3 linked regions of the Drosophila melanogaster genome follow. The protein of the gene in region 3 interacts with the protein of the main gene of each other region in a pairwise test. Each region holds a gene or a part of one and is shown on either strand. Other genes may lie near its edges.

What was found. The genes of interacting proteins can lie anywhere in the genome.
Region 1: the proteins of nompB (region 3) and Nhe1 interact in a two-hybrid assay, tested with the Drosophila melanogaster proteins (one large-scale study listed by BioGRID).
Region 2: the proteins of nompB (region 3) and wac interact in a two-hybrid assay, tested with the Drosophila melanogaster proteins (one large-scale study listed by BioGRID).

What each region holds. Positions count from the first base shown.
Region 1 is NT_033779.5:103,462-108,981, reverse strand, and holds Nhe1 (Na[+]/H[+] hydrogen exchanger 1), read left to right. Parts: upstream 1-2,249; 5' UTR 2,250-2,339; coding exon 2,340-3,013; intron 3,014-3,066; coding exon 3,067-3,470; intron 3,471-3,526; coding exon 3,527-3,591; intron 3,592-3,645; coding exon 3,646-3,977; intron 3,978-4,034; coding exon 4,035-4,509; 3' UTR 4,510-5,020; downstream 5,021-5,520. Other genes in the region: Sam-S (S-adenosylmethionine synthetase), read right to left, coding at 173-296; Creld (cysteine rich with EGF like domains), read right to left, coding at 5,219-5,466.
Region 2 is NT_037436.4:255,937-259,597, forward strand, and holds wac (wee augmin), read left to right. Parts: upstream 1-2,239; 5' UTR 2,240-2,455; coding exon 2,456-2,459; intron 2,460-2,469; exon of another isoform or gene 2,470-2,514; coding exon 2,515-2,827; intron 2,828-2,886; coding exon 2,887-3,061; 3' UTR 3,062-3,161; downstream 3,162-3,661. Other genes in the region: DIP2 (DISCO interacting protein 2), read right to left, coding at 278-657, 713-1,120, 1,194-1,265, 1,617-1,689; Tudor-SN (tudor staphylococcal nuclease), read right to left, coding at 3,567-3,661. UniProt on the Drosophila melanogaster protein: As part of the augmin complex, plays a role in centrosome-independent generation of spindle microtubules.
Region 3 is NT_033779.5:21,586,325-21,591,560, forward strand, and holds the start of nompB (no mechanoreceptor potential B), read right to left. Parts: upstream 3,100-5,236; 5' UTR 3,032-3,099; coding exon 2,903-3,031; intron 2,850-2,902; coding exon 2,653-2,849; intron 1,095-2,652; coding exon 869-1,094; intron 818-868; coding exon of another isoform or gene 797-817; coding exon 76-796; intron 1-75.

The DNA.
Region 1 (5,520 bases), about 21 Mb from region 3:
CTTCAGACAGAAGGGCCTCAGACGCTAGAGAATCAGTTTGGTCAGGTTATGAGAACTGACAGGCAACATCTCTCACCACGCCCGAAGGGGCATTTGAGATTGTTTCTTTTTTTACACTGACACTATCGGTATGATGCAATAGGAGGCGCCGCAGATGCAATGAAGCACTCACCTGGATGACCCTCGCCAACGGACTCGGAAGTGAACAGGAATGTAGCTCCGTCTTCCATGTCATATGAGTTGCCATTGCTGCCGTTGCATCCGTTGGCGCTATGTCCGTTTGTCTTTTGCGGCATGTTGATGGGTAGTTTGTAATATGTAACTCGAAGTTTGAAGGGGCAATGGGGGAGCAGTGCTATAACCCGAGTTCCGGTCGGCTAAATTGTTGGTGGAGCTGGGGGAACAGAGAGAAAGAGAGGCCACATTAGCGGTTGTTAAAAAACGCTTAACGAAATTGATTTTCCGAACTCTTGCAAAACACATCTATTTTCGCATTCGCGAATCTAAGCTATAGGCCGCCTCGAGGCTGTTGGGATTTTCCGGTATTCGCACACTTTTCGTTATAGTTTTTTTTATATAATCGCCCTTCTTTTATGTTTTTATGCTGCGCGTTTGCCACAATCGTCGCTACATACATGAGACGCACGTTGAGCGGGTTCAAAGCTAAACTAGTCGCTAGGTGAGGGCTCGGTGCTGCTAGCTGTTTAAAATGCGTGTTCGACGTTCTAGCTATTAGTTCAACAAATTATACACACTGATTCTGAGTTATACTGGTTCAGCGACGGCAACCAAATCAGCGGCGCAGCCAACACACGTCCTATCTTAGCGACGGTTCTGAAGAAAAAGAGCGCAACTTTTTAATGCCATTCAGAATTTATACCTCCAACGAGAGAGCGGGCTTTTGCTTATCGTCGCAAACGGAGGAGGCGGTTCTCTTCGGCTGACTCGATTATTATTTTGAGACTTATTTGGGCGCTCTTTAGGGAAACTTTCCTAGCGTTCTCGGTACTCTCAAATGATTTTACTTCTTCAGTATCTCCACGTTTTTGGGTTTTAAGCAGCTGTTCCGCCGCCCAGCGTTGCCACCCCGCTCCGGAGTGAACTGTAGTGAATCTAGATCCAGATCCTTTATTTTATACTCACTGTGGTTTTGAACAAAGGATCAGACAAGATATGGATTATAGTCTCGACTAGCTTCCTGCTCAACCTGCGTTCAACTGCGGATGATTTTTACAGACGAATAATATTTATAAATTTTTGTAGACAGCATTTGAGAAGATGAGTCGGCAAGAAATAAGAGCTTATCAGAACAAAACTATGTGCTACCACGGCAGCCACCTATATACCTAATTTTTAAAATCTGTTTAGCATTGCTCTCTCGGCTTCTCTTATGTACAGCAATTGACATATACATATTCGATGATATAGACAATCGCTACACGAAGCGCAATTCGAAGCGAATTTTTAAACGAATGTCTGTATCTGTTGAAACCCTAGCTTTTCCCTAACATGGAGTGACTGCCCTTTTGGAGATGGATCGTTCGACACTATCTTGTCAAGGAAAGTCGTCAATTAGGGTTCTCATACTATTCGAACAATTTGTGCTTTTGAAAAAGTGCTTACGTCATGCCACAGCCAAGAAGACAAACAAGGTCTGCCAAGATCAAGGAGCCTGGTAATCAGTTTTTGCATGTACATTTTTTAAAATTCTAATACCCACTGAATATAACCGAAAACAACAAGCCCCATTATCTTTCAAATAAGGTGTGACCCCACGGGGCCTAAGAAGATCGCGTGTGCCTGAACGAACAGATGCGCAGGGCACATTATTCTTGAGCACAAATGGTGGGTGCTTGCGAACTGTAGATTGTGGCAATGCATTTATTTTACTGATTTATCGTCAGTTATTGTAATAGCCTTAACTAAACAATTTATCACTTTGCCAATAACAAGGTTTTTTATTATTTCACTTTTCTAATACATATATAATTTTCTTTTTGCCGTAAGAAACGTTCTCAATACGTAGACAAAAATATTTAAACTTAAAATGCTCAATTTTCAAGACACTTCACAAGAGCTATCAGCTACAATGACTGGGCAAAAGCCAATTATTTAAATAAATTCATTATATGGTAAAATATACTGCACGCAATTAAGTGCACAATTTTCTTTTGAATATATGAAAGGCACGCGCCAATAAGCCAAAATGATACGGCAACTCTCCCCGATATACGTCAGATAGGGCGATAAACAGATGTTTGTGAAAAAACAAATTGAACAAATAGTGAAAAGTTAAATGCGAGCGTTAATAGCGACCACGTCACGTTTTGTCGGCAAAAATGAGGGTTTGGGTAGCTTATAGTGCAGCTGCACTCTTACTGTTGGTGCACGCGGGTCCGGAAAGCATCAGTGGACAGGAGGTGCCCCAAAGCAAAACATCAAGCAACACCACCACTACAGATAATAGTAGCTCTATCCACACCGTTTCGGATGTCTTCGTCAACAGTCCGCTTGGAAATGTCACGCCCTCGATTTCTGCATCTGGTAATGCAAGCACCACGAAAAGGGGAAACGCATCCACATTGGTCACAGATCCGCCTCTAATCGATTCCCATGCTGTCGAGCAGGAGCACAACTCCTCACTCTCACTGTTTTTCGTCATCTGCGTTATCATGTTGGGCATCCTGCTTATCCACTCTATGCTCCAGACCGGGTTCCAGTACCTGCCAGAAAGCATTGTGGTAGTCTTTCTGGGCGCCTTTATTGGCCTTTCGCTGAACGTTATGTCTGGGCAGAATGGCAGTTGGAAACGTGAAGAGGTCTTCTCGCCCATGGGCTTCTTTCTGGTGCTCCTGCCGCCCATTATATTCGAGTCCGGTTACAATCTGCACAAGGGAAACTTCTTTCAGAACATCGGATCCATACTGGTCTTTGCCATATTCGGTACAACAATTTCTGCACTAGTCATCGGGGCGGGGATTTACCTGCTGGGCCTGGGGGAGGTGGCATTTCGGCAAGTTTAAAATAAATTGTCAATTTCATTCAATAATTTATCCTAAATTTTAGCCTAAGCTTTTCGGAATCCTTTGCCTTCGGTTCTCTCATCTCTGCTGTTGATCCTGTGGCAACAGTGGCAATTTTCCATGCTCTTGACGTAGACCCCATACTCAACATGTTGGTATTCGGCGAAAGCATCCTCAACGACGCCATATCTATTGTGCTGACTGCATCCATAACCCAATCCGCTAACGTCAATGCTGAGGCCAGCACTGGAGAAGCCATGTTCAGCGCGTTGAAGACCTTTTGCGCGATGTTCTTTGCTTCGGCGGGCATTGGAGTCATATTTGCACTAATTTCGGCTCTTCTTCTGAAGCACATCGATTTACGAAAGCATCCATCCCTCGAGTTCGCGATGATGCTAATGTTTACTTACGCACCTTACGTCTTGGCAGAGGGAATACACTTAAGCGGTATATCAATGTTGTTGACTATGACTCTAAAAGCTAAACATTTTTTTCAACTATAGGTATTATGGCTATACTATTTTGCGGAATCGTCATGTCCCACTACACGCATTTCAACCTATCCACTGTAAGTCATATGATATCCCTATTTTATATATTATTAAAACTTTTTTAATCGTAGGTTACCCAAATTACCATGCAGCAGACGATGAGGACACTAGCTTTCATTGCTGAGACCTGCGTGTTTGCTTATCTGGGATTAGCAATCTTTTCTTTTAAACACCAAGTTGAACTATCTTTTGTTATATGGGCCATTGTGCTTTGCTTAATTGGCCGCGCCTGCAATATTTTTCCGCTCGCGTTCTTGGTCAACAAATTTCGCGAGCATAAGATCAATAACAAGATGCAGTTCATTATGTGGTTTTCTGGCCTACGCGGAGCGATTTCCTACGCGCTATCTTTGCACTTGAATCTTGACAGCCAGGAGAAACGACACGTCATCATAACAACAACGTAAGCATATTCCGGATTGTAAAATAATGCTCAGTCATTGAAGAATTAAAATTTCAGATTAATCATTGTGCTATTTACCACGCTAGTGCTGGGGGGCTCCACAATGCCTCTGCTAAAGTACCTTAAGCCAGGAAAAAAACGGCGGGCACGCGGCTCTGGAAGGAATGCCGCTGAGGAGGGAGGTCGACGCAACGGCAGCGGTAGGAAGCGTTCAAAATCTATTTCCCTATCGAAAACTCGCGAATGGGGCCAGGCAATCGACTCTGAACACTTGTCTGAACTCACCGAGGAAGAGGACGTCACCTTTACTCAAGCGCGCGATCGTTTTGGGCGCATGGATCGCAAGTACTTTATTCCGTTTTTTACACGTCGGTTCAATAGTCAGGAATTGCACGAGTGCAAGTCACAGATGGCCGACCTGACTAACAAGTGGTACCAAGCCATTCGAGTGAGTCCATTGGATTCAGATGAATCGGACGAAGAGATAGGACTAGCGGCCAGCACAAGTCAAATTCATTTGACACGGTCGTAGGGATTAAATGGCTGTTGTGGGGGGAGCTCTGTATCCGTTTCGGACTGTGTTGGATAACTTTAGAAGCCAAAGGGAACGATCGTATGTAATGCTTAAGTTCCTCTAGTTAATATTTTTAGAGTTTTTATTTATATAGCGCGGTGATGGTTGTTATCTTGTGTATATTTTTTGTTTACAAATTTTCATTTTGTAAGATCCAAATGCAATGATTCATTCGTATCACTGTAGCTCCTTTATTAATCCGCTTAAAGCAGTATTACATTGCACACGACAGATGGTCTTCAAAATGAAAATTTGGACGTCACAAAAGCACACTACGTCAGTAATTTTAGTTAAAAATATTTATTCATACGAATATATGCTGTATTTGTGATTTTATACATTTTTGAAACCAAATAAATATCTAAGTGTGGTACGTGTAAAAAAATATGGTCATGCCCTGCTTTTTGAAATTCTAATTTATAATTACATATCAATTGATAATATTACCTATTAAAGTAAAATTGGCTACAAAAGGTGTGCGTTTTTGGTTACTTTTACAATTCTTCGTGCGTGGACTCTTCACCGAGCACCGTGGAGTTTGAATCACTGCGGACTGCAAACGAAGTACAAAAATCGTTAGATGTCTTGGGGGAATGTTAAAAGATTATGCTTTTCAAAACGCTCGTGTATATCATAAAAGGAAAGCAATGTTGACATGTCTTTTGACTTATAAAGACTTCATTATTAGTTCCTCCAACTGTTTTGTATCTATTTCGGGTTGGTGGCCGCCTCCTGCCTCCGAGTTGATCCAGTACTCGGAAACAGCAATGTACCCTGCCACTGCCGCCCCAACAATGCAACCCCAGGCAATATGAGTAGAGCTCTGGAAGATGACACAGGTGGCCACGCACATTCCGAAGTAGGTGAGCATTCGCGTAAAGCTTACGTAGTTGCTGCGTTGCTCCGCAGAAATATCTTAAATGATCGGAGGCGCAATACATACAGTGGACAATGCGTTGCTTAAAAGCA
Region 2 (3,661 bases), on a different chromosome or scaffold from region 3:
TACATTTTTATGCAATCTGCCTAAGTTTATATACCCTAACTTCAATTATACAAAGCAATTTAATAGAAAAAAATCATAGTCTCGATGATTCTTATGATAAAAAGTTTTAAATTTGTATACACTAGTTAAAGAGTATAATTCTTTTAATACATATATTTCGGTCTTAGTCTGTTCACATCTGAACAGTATATATTTACTGCAATAAATATTCACAATCAACATATTGTCGAAGCTAGCTTTTTTTCCTCTTTAAATGTATTATTATTATATTACTCACAAGTGGGGGTAAGTTTTGCGGTGGTCGCCTTTCTGGAGCGCTATTCGGCGCCGTATACTTTTGATTTGTAATTTGGTTCTGTTTCACGTCTGTCCTCGCATGCTGCTGTGAACCCATCGATGATTCACGAATTGGAGGTTTAATTATCGGTTCTGGTGGCAGTATGCTATTGCTTATATGATCCCGTGGATAATTGTACTCCTTGTCGGGGGAAATTGTCTCCTCGGGTATGGATTCGTCATCCGTCGATGAGTCCAGCTCATCATTGCACCCAGGGCTTCGGTTTAATACAGATGTGCGCTTCGATGGCATTGGAAGGCTGGGTTTTGGCCGTCCCTTAAGAGCTGCAAGGGCCTGTTGCACAGCCTCTTGTCGTACTTCTAGGGGTCAGATGATCAGAGATAAAATGTTGTTGCTGTAACTTGTTCTACTAACCAGAATGATAACGTTTCTCATTGTGCGTTACTTTGCGCTGTGTGCGTCGTTGACGATGCTGACTATTATTAGTTGACTGTTGGTTCTGAAAAGCACTTGGTTCGCGAGTGTTCTGATACCCGGGATCGCCGACTGCTCCACCCTGCGGTCGCATATTTTCGTAGCCAGGAGCCCCAGCATTTCCGCTCTGTGGTGCCGATGACAAGCTCATGGCGGCTTGCTGATGGAAGTCAATTTTTTTGGAATGTCTTTGCTGCGAGGAGGACAGGGAGGGCACTTCAGTCACATAACTGTAGCCCTCGCTGGACACAATGACGCCGTCGTTATTGATGTTTCCGTGGTTGGTGCTGTTGTTGGCATTTTTAACGTTGTAGTATGGCGGTGGCGGCGTACTTTTCACTTTATCGCCTGTTCACAACAAAAGGATCAAGAACTTTCTGGTGACGACCAAACGACCAAATATCAATGTTTTCGAACATACCTTCTGGCTTCTTTAGGAACGGCTGCAACAGCTTCGCCCTTTTCTTTTCGTAGCCTTTCTGCGTAATGTCACCTAGAAAAGCAGATGGAATTGTTTTCTTAACGATTAATATGTCCGCTGGGCCTCGTCGTTTTTTGAAAAGCGTGGAGTAGCGACTGAATCATGTATTCATGCTGAAAGCCACACAACACAACACACACACTTTTCTTTTAATTGGTCGGTCCCCGACTATATGTGGGCAGCTTTCAGCGAAAGAAAAGCCGAGAACAGCACTTGTAATCCCATTTGGGGGCGACAAGTATCCAATGATTTGAATCAGACCAGACTACGTCTGCCACAGTTTTCACGCGATTTTCTACAACTCAGTCGCCGCACTTTAACAACAATATTTTATTTTTGTGTGTATTATTCAAATAGGTATACCTTCCGACAGCTCTAAGTCCAGTTCGGCGAGCTTCTCGCGGACGTAGCCAGGCAGCGAGGCAGTGTGCTCCATGGCAGATGAAAAGTGTGGCTTTAGGGTTTTGTTCTATCCTCTTCCTTGGAGGATTCGTCTAAACTTTGGCTGGTCGCAGTACACAAACACACCCAGACACCGCTACTTTCCCACTTCGTTGTCAAAAATCGATCGATTTGCCATTTATTCTATTTCACATTTTGCCGACGCAAATAAATACATCCGTACTTGCGCAGCACCAGTACTTTGGGTTAGTTAGAAAACACGATATTACGAATGTCTTTTACGAATTTGCACAATGAAAGTAAACAAAGAAAAATAGCAGTACAAATCGATTTTATGAACTAGCGAAAAATTGATAACTATTTCTTCATACTCTTGGGACAACGGCCTTTTTCAATTTTCGAGATGCGGTCACACTGCCCAAGTAATCGAACCACGAATTTAAGTGTTATTTTTAATGATATTAGGCATAGAACCATTACAATTAAAAAGCTCTATTATTTATTACTTTAATCGCTTGTCTCTTAAAATTCGATTCAACAAAAGCAATTGGTGGCATTTTGCTAGGTAGCCCTGAAATACTGTAGAGACTATCGATATCTGCACCTAAGGCGCCTATTATCACATTCGGATTACGAAGACAAAGACATGCGAAACCTGGATACGATTAGTGGCGAAGAAAAGCAAAGTCCTGCCAACTTAGTCTAAATTGTTTCTAAGCCGGCTGCCTATACGCCTGCGTTTTGAGCAAAGCGGTAGTATCTTTTTCGGAACCATCGATAGCTTGTCATCTCCAGTAAAAATGCGTGAGTTTATTTAAAAAAAACGCTAGGCATACAACTAATTATTCTTATGATGCAGAGAACTTGAAGATCCAAGAGGAAGTCAATTCATTGATGCGTCTAGGCCAGCACTTCGATGACCAGTTAAAGCTGGCTAGCGTCGAGTTGGGCGATTTCTCGGACGATGACCTGGCGCTCCTTGACAAATGCGCCCAATATTATTCACTTTTGCACATTCACGACATCAATCTGAACTACTTGCGCGACTTCTATTGTGCCAAGAAGAGGGAATGCATAGAAAACCGGCAGACCACAGTGCAGCAACGCGTAGAGCTGCAGCGCATCCTCTCGTCCATCGAGGAGGCGACTAGGGACGTAGTTATGTTGGAGAGGTATTGGTGAACAAATCCCTTTAATAGTTGAATCCCTGACCAAAACCATTCTTCTGCAGATTTAATGCTGCTGCGGAAGAGCGGCTCATCCCGGATATCGTCGTAATGCAGCGAAACGCCCAACAGCTTGCAACAAAACAGGCCTTACTGGACCGGCAAAAAACCCTTAAGATCCCAAAGGATTTTAGCATTGAAAGTGTCATCGAGAAGGTAGATTCGCTGGAGCAGCGCTAAAGAAGTGAATTGCTTTCGTTTTTAAAAAATTATTTAATTGTATTTACTCAGTAATGCAAAACACTTTACAAAAACATAAAATCTGCAAATTTTAAAGATGAATGTTGAGGTTTACAACTTGGAACACTACACAATCAGAGGGTGCACTTATTTTGGTTATTGTACGCATTTTAAAAACGTTCCAATTGTTGCTAGGTTGTGTCAAATATTTATTTAAAGTATCATGATAGGAAAACTAGAAGACCAAATAATAATTTGCCAGCTGCTTAAAGCATACAAAAAGTGTACCGTGTTCTTCCATGCCATTGCTCATATGTATGTATTTGTGTATTTCCAATGTGGTATATGTATCATATATATTGGTGTATAGATAGAATTAGTAATTTCATATTCTTTAAGTTCTTGCTTGTTGTTATGTATATAAAGGGCGGGTATGTGGCAGACAATCTTTTCGGCTAGCAACGCGCTCCACGCCACAGGCCTACTCCACGTTTCCGGGCATCTTTTAGCGGAACTCGGGCGCATCATCTTGCGTTATGTCACCGTACTTCCAGATGGCCAGATGCGCGACCCGAGCTGCTTCCTGCGCGGCTTTGTACT
Region 3 (5,236 bases):
TACAACAATAATTATTATAATACCCTGAATTTATGTTTTATCCTACCTGCTGTATTTTATCTCAGTCGTACTCACCATCATTATAGTTATCTTCGATAAAAGGTGATATTAAGTCTACAATCATTGTAATAGATCGTTTAACGGCATTACGACGTTCATTTCTATATACGGCCAGCTCGTCTTTCTTAAGTGCTTGGACAACATAACGATGTTTCACTGTGGCTGCAAACTTTACGGTCTCGTTCAGTTTACCGCCACCTTCTGCCTTAATAACCGAGCCCGTGACTGGTTCGTTGTTTAAAGACTGGTACCCGTCGGTTTCGCCAATTTGTTGAATCGGCTCAGCCTGCTGTTGAAGTTTAATGATATTCGTCTCACTCTCCATATCCGATTCTATTGCTTCGGTTTGGACATCACAAAGTCTCCGAAAGGCCAACTTTACTTTCTCCACATCGCCCAAGGCGAAGTAGCAGAGTAAGAGGTGAATGCTACTTCTAATGTTTGCCCGCTCCGTCATGATGAACTCAAAGCTAGAAGCAGCATCTGAATAAGAGCCCATGCGAATAAAAAGGATTCCAATGTTTTCACGGATCTTTAGCCTTAACTGACTTAAGCTCTTTGGTACAGAATCAAGGGCCATGCGGTACATTTTAACCGCCTTTTGGTAAATACCCATGCTGTAGTAGATGTTACCCATATTTAGTTTTAGCTGATTGACGTGTGGAAACATCTTGTTTTTGGCCATAATGCTGTAGGTATTGAGGGCTTCGATGTGCATCTCACTCCGTTCGTATTGCTCCGCGAGATTAAAAAAAACCTATAGTCCATATATATTAAAGTTTTAAATTATCCTTCTAGTCGTGCTTACCGCATATGTCAAATCGAAGTTGTGATAAACATTTTCACCGTGCTGGTCTCGAAATTGGTGTAATGTTCTATCCAATGAGAATGCTTCTTTGGCTTTACTCAATGCCTCGGCCAATTTTGTATCCAGGTTCAATAATTTATTGGGTGAGCCTTGCCAGGCCAAAACTATAGATGACTCCAAGAGCTTCACAATTTTTTCCTCTAGATTTTTATACTTCATTTGTGGGCTATAATTTGAATTATGTAAAACGTAATATAAGTTGGTTAGTATTCAGACTTTGGTTAACTCGCTACATAATAATCGACTAAAAGGATCAGATCATTGCTAGTTCCTGATAAGCTTGGAAATGCTTAAGACTTTTCCTTGTTGTTTTGTAAAATTTACAGAGAGAAGAATGAAAAAAGACAGAATTAAAATAACATTTTTAAATTCCACTATGTTTAAAAATTATGTTATGTTAAAAAATTCATAATTATTTACACACAGCTTTTTTAATTCATTTTTGCCTTTTTTATTGAATTTAAACGAAATATTTTATATGGAATATGAGCAATGGAAGTACCGCCTGATTTATGTCTTTCAAGAACTTGGTTGGTACTCGGCCCTTGTGGCATGGAGCATTGCCCTGCTGCAAGATCCAGTCATTCTTGGAGAACAGTCTATTTCCTGAGGTCAATGCGTGCTCATTTAAGATATGGAGGTATCCTGTTTGATTTACTGTACCCTCTATCGGTACCATGTCTCCAAACCCATAGTAGCTTAAACAGCCCCAGAACATCACCGTGACACCACCAAACCGATTGATTGGCTGAACGGCATTACCCTTTAGTTGTATTGGGAAATGCATAAATTGCTTGCTAAAGGATCCCTGAAACTGAAACGCAACTTCATCAGTCCATAAAATATCAAACCAGAATTCGAGAGGCTTCTCTTTTTACTCCAAGGCAAATGCCAGACGATTTTCCTTGTTTCTTGGGGTAATATTAAATACTGCACGAATAACATAGGAGTTGATGTCAACTTCCTTCATTCTGCGACGCAGTGTACTATCGCTAATATGTTCTCTAACTAAATTTTTCGATGCTGCGGCAATTTTAACGGGACTTATGGTGGGATTATATAGTACAACTCCTATAATGTGTCTGCAGTCTCTTGGGTTCAATGCAACTTTTCGGTTAGTTCTCTTTTTATTTTCCAAAATTCCCAATCCAATGTCCTTTTTTTTTACCTAATTGTACACAGTTTTACGTGATATTTTGTATAACTCAGCTAATTTGGATGCAGAAGTACCAGCCTTAATTTTAGTGACAATCTCGGCTCGATGCTCAACTGATAGCTCCTTTGTTTTTGCCATTTTACAAATTTAATGCTTAGTTTTATCTATTAACATAACTGTTAACAGTTAGTTTAAGTTCCAATTAAGCGATCAACATCAACTAGAACTTTACTAGACTAATCTTCAATTTGCACTGTGCAAATAATTTTGAAGCTTAAAAATTGTGTGTAAATACTTCTGACAACAGACAAGTTTAATGCTTCTATTTTTAGCCCATGAACAGTTATTTTTTCCACTTCTTGACAATTGACAACAGAAAAAAAGCACGTTGTGTAAATACTTTTGACCACCTCTGTATGCTTGTAAGTTTATAAGGTGCAAGTGAATAAATACATGAATATAGATTCAGTATACCTTTAACTTCAGTACCTTTCTATTTATTTTTTTTTTACGATTTTTGATAACCCCTTTGATGCAACCGTCCTCTAAAAATAATTTTCTTACTTACTTTACATCCTTTATGGCATCCACAGCGGCTCTTGACGAGAGCGTTTGTTGCTTCGCCTTCTCCAGGAAAAATTGTTCGAACCTTTGATGAGCAGACTCGCAATTAGCAGCGTAGCCCACAGCCCGGACTGCTGTTGATGGTCTTGCAAGACCTGATTTATCGCCTCCTGTTGCCCGACTGCTGGCCAGATTGCCGCGCTGAATTACAGAAATTACACAGCGTTTTAAATTTTTTTTTTTTCAAAACTCACTGAAAAAAGCTGTGAAGTGGGGGGTCTGGGTCTGCCCGCCGCCGTGGGTGGGGGAGGCGGAACCGCTTCATGTTCGGAAACAGGCTCCGGTAATCTTTGCGTTCCGTTAGCAGTTATTTGAGAAGTCATTTTTGTCTCACCGCACTACACGCGTATAATAAGGTTCTCAATCAATATGAACGGTTTTGGGGGTTGGTCTTTGTTTTGGTTGAGTTGCCTTGGTGATCACGTATAAGCAGCACATGCGTAAAAGAGGTGAATAAATACCAATTAAATGTATAATGTAAGAAGGTTGCGGTATTTATTAAACCAAATCATTTTGGTTTATTTTATCATTTTATACTAAGACATTTCTATAAAAGTTTGAATAAGTTTAGTTAATTGTTATCTGATTTAATATAAAACATAAAACCCAATTTCAATTGTTAAAATATTATTATCAGTCGGAAACGCTTCCTTCTGTCTGTTACATACTTTTCAACGAATCTAGTATACCCTTTTACTCTACGAGAAACGGGTATGGACCATACCGTATGGTTTACCTCCACCTTCTGCGCTTATAACCGAGCTCGTGTCTTGTTCGTTGTCTGGTGCACGTCGATTTCGCCACATTGTTGAATCGGCTCAGCCTGCTGTTGAAGTTTAATGATATTCGTCTCACTCTCCATATCCGATTCTATTGCTTCGGTTTGGACATCACAAAGTCTCCGAAAGGCTAACTTTACTTTCTCCACATCGCCCAAGGCGAAGTAGCAGAGTAAGAGGTGAATGCTACTTCTAATGTTTGCCCGCTCCGTCATGATGAACTCAAAGCTAGAAGCAGCATCTGAATAAGAGCCCATGCGAATAAAAAGGATTCCAATGTTTTCACGGATCTTTAGCCTTAACTGACTTAAGCTCTTTGGTACAGAATCAAGGGCCATGCGGTACATTTTAACCGCCTTTTGGTAAATACCCATGCTGTAGTAGATGTTACCCATATTTAGTTTTAGCTGATTGACGTGTGGAAACATCTTGTTTTTGGCCATAATGCTGTAGGTATTGAGGGCTTCGATGTGCATCTCACTCCGTTCGTATTGCTCCGCGAGATTAAAAAAAACCTATAGTCCATATATATTAAAGTTTTAAATTATCCTTCTAGTCGTGCTTACCGCATATGTCAAATCGAAGTTGTGATAAACATTTTCACCGTGCTGGTCTCGAAATTGGTGTAATGTTCTATCCAATGAGAATGCTTCTTTGGCTTTACTCAATGCCTCGGCCAATTTTGTATCCAGGTTCAATAATTTATTGGGTGAGCGTTGCCAGGCCAAAACTATAGATGACTCCAAGAGCTTCACAATTTTTTCCTCTAGATTTTTATACATTATTTGTGGTCTATAGTTTGTATTATGTAAAACGTAATATAAGTTGGCTAGTATTCAGACTTTGGTTAACTCGCTACATAATAATCGACTAAAAGGCAGGAGTAGATCATTGCTTGTTCCTGATAAGCTTGGAAATGCTTAAGACTTTATATACATACATATATGCTCGAATATAGCATTCTCCCTTGTTTTTTTTTTTGTAGAGTTTACAGAGAGAAGAATGAAAAAAGACAGAATAAAAAGACAGTTTTAAAGCCCACTTTATGTTTAAAATTTTTCCAATAAAATAAATATAAATTTCTTTAGTACACTCAGGGGTATCATTCGGGATTTGACCCAAACATTAAGAGCAAGACACCTACACATTGCTGACGTATCACAATCACAACTACATCAAATATTGTTAATTTCAATTTTCAAAATTTCAATATTTGGAAGCAAACTAGCGCTGCGGGTTTGTCTCTAGAAAATTCATGCTTAATCCTGAGATCTCCACGCTCATACGGACAGACAGACAGACGGACATTACTCGGCTATTGATCCTGATCAAGAATACAGATACATGTACATTATAATGTCGGAAACGCTTCATTCTTCCTGTTACATACTTTTCAACGAATCTAGTAGTTACTCTACGATAAACGGGTATAAAAACTCCTATTTATTGAAGTACAAGAGAAAACGCTTCCGGCCTGTAGACAGTAAATAAAGAATAAAATTATTTAATTTTTTTTTATAGACTTTATTAACCCCTTTGTCACCTTGGTCGTTATTAATTCAGCCCTTTCAGGAGCGCCGGCTAACAAAAGTTAGCTGTAACAAAACAATAAAACAAATATAACAATTAACAATATATCAATTCGAGATCATCATCATGTCCTGGCTCTCGTCAAGGGGAACCGTATGATGAGGTCCTTCGGCTGTCTCCTGTGGAGCCTTCTTGGTGGGCGAGCTTTGGACAGTGCCT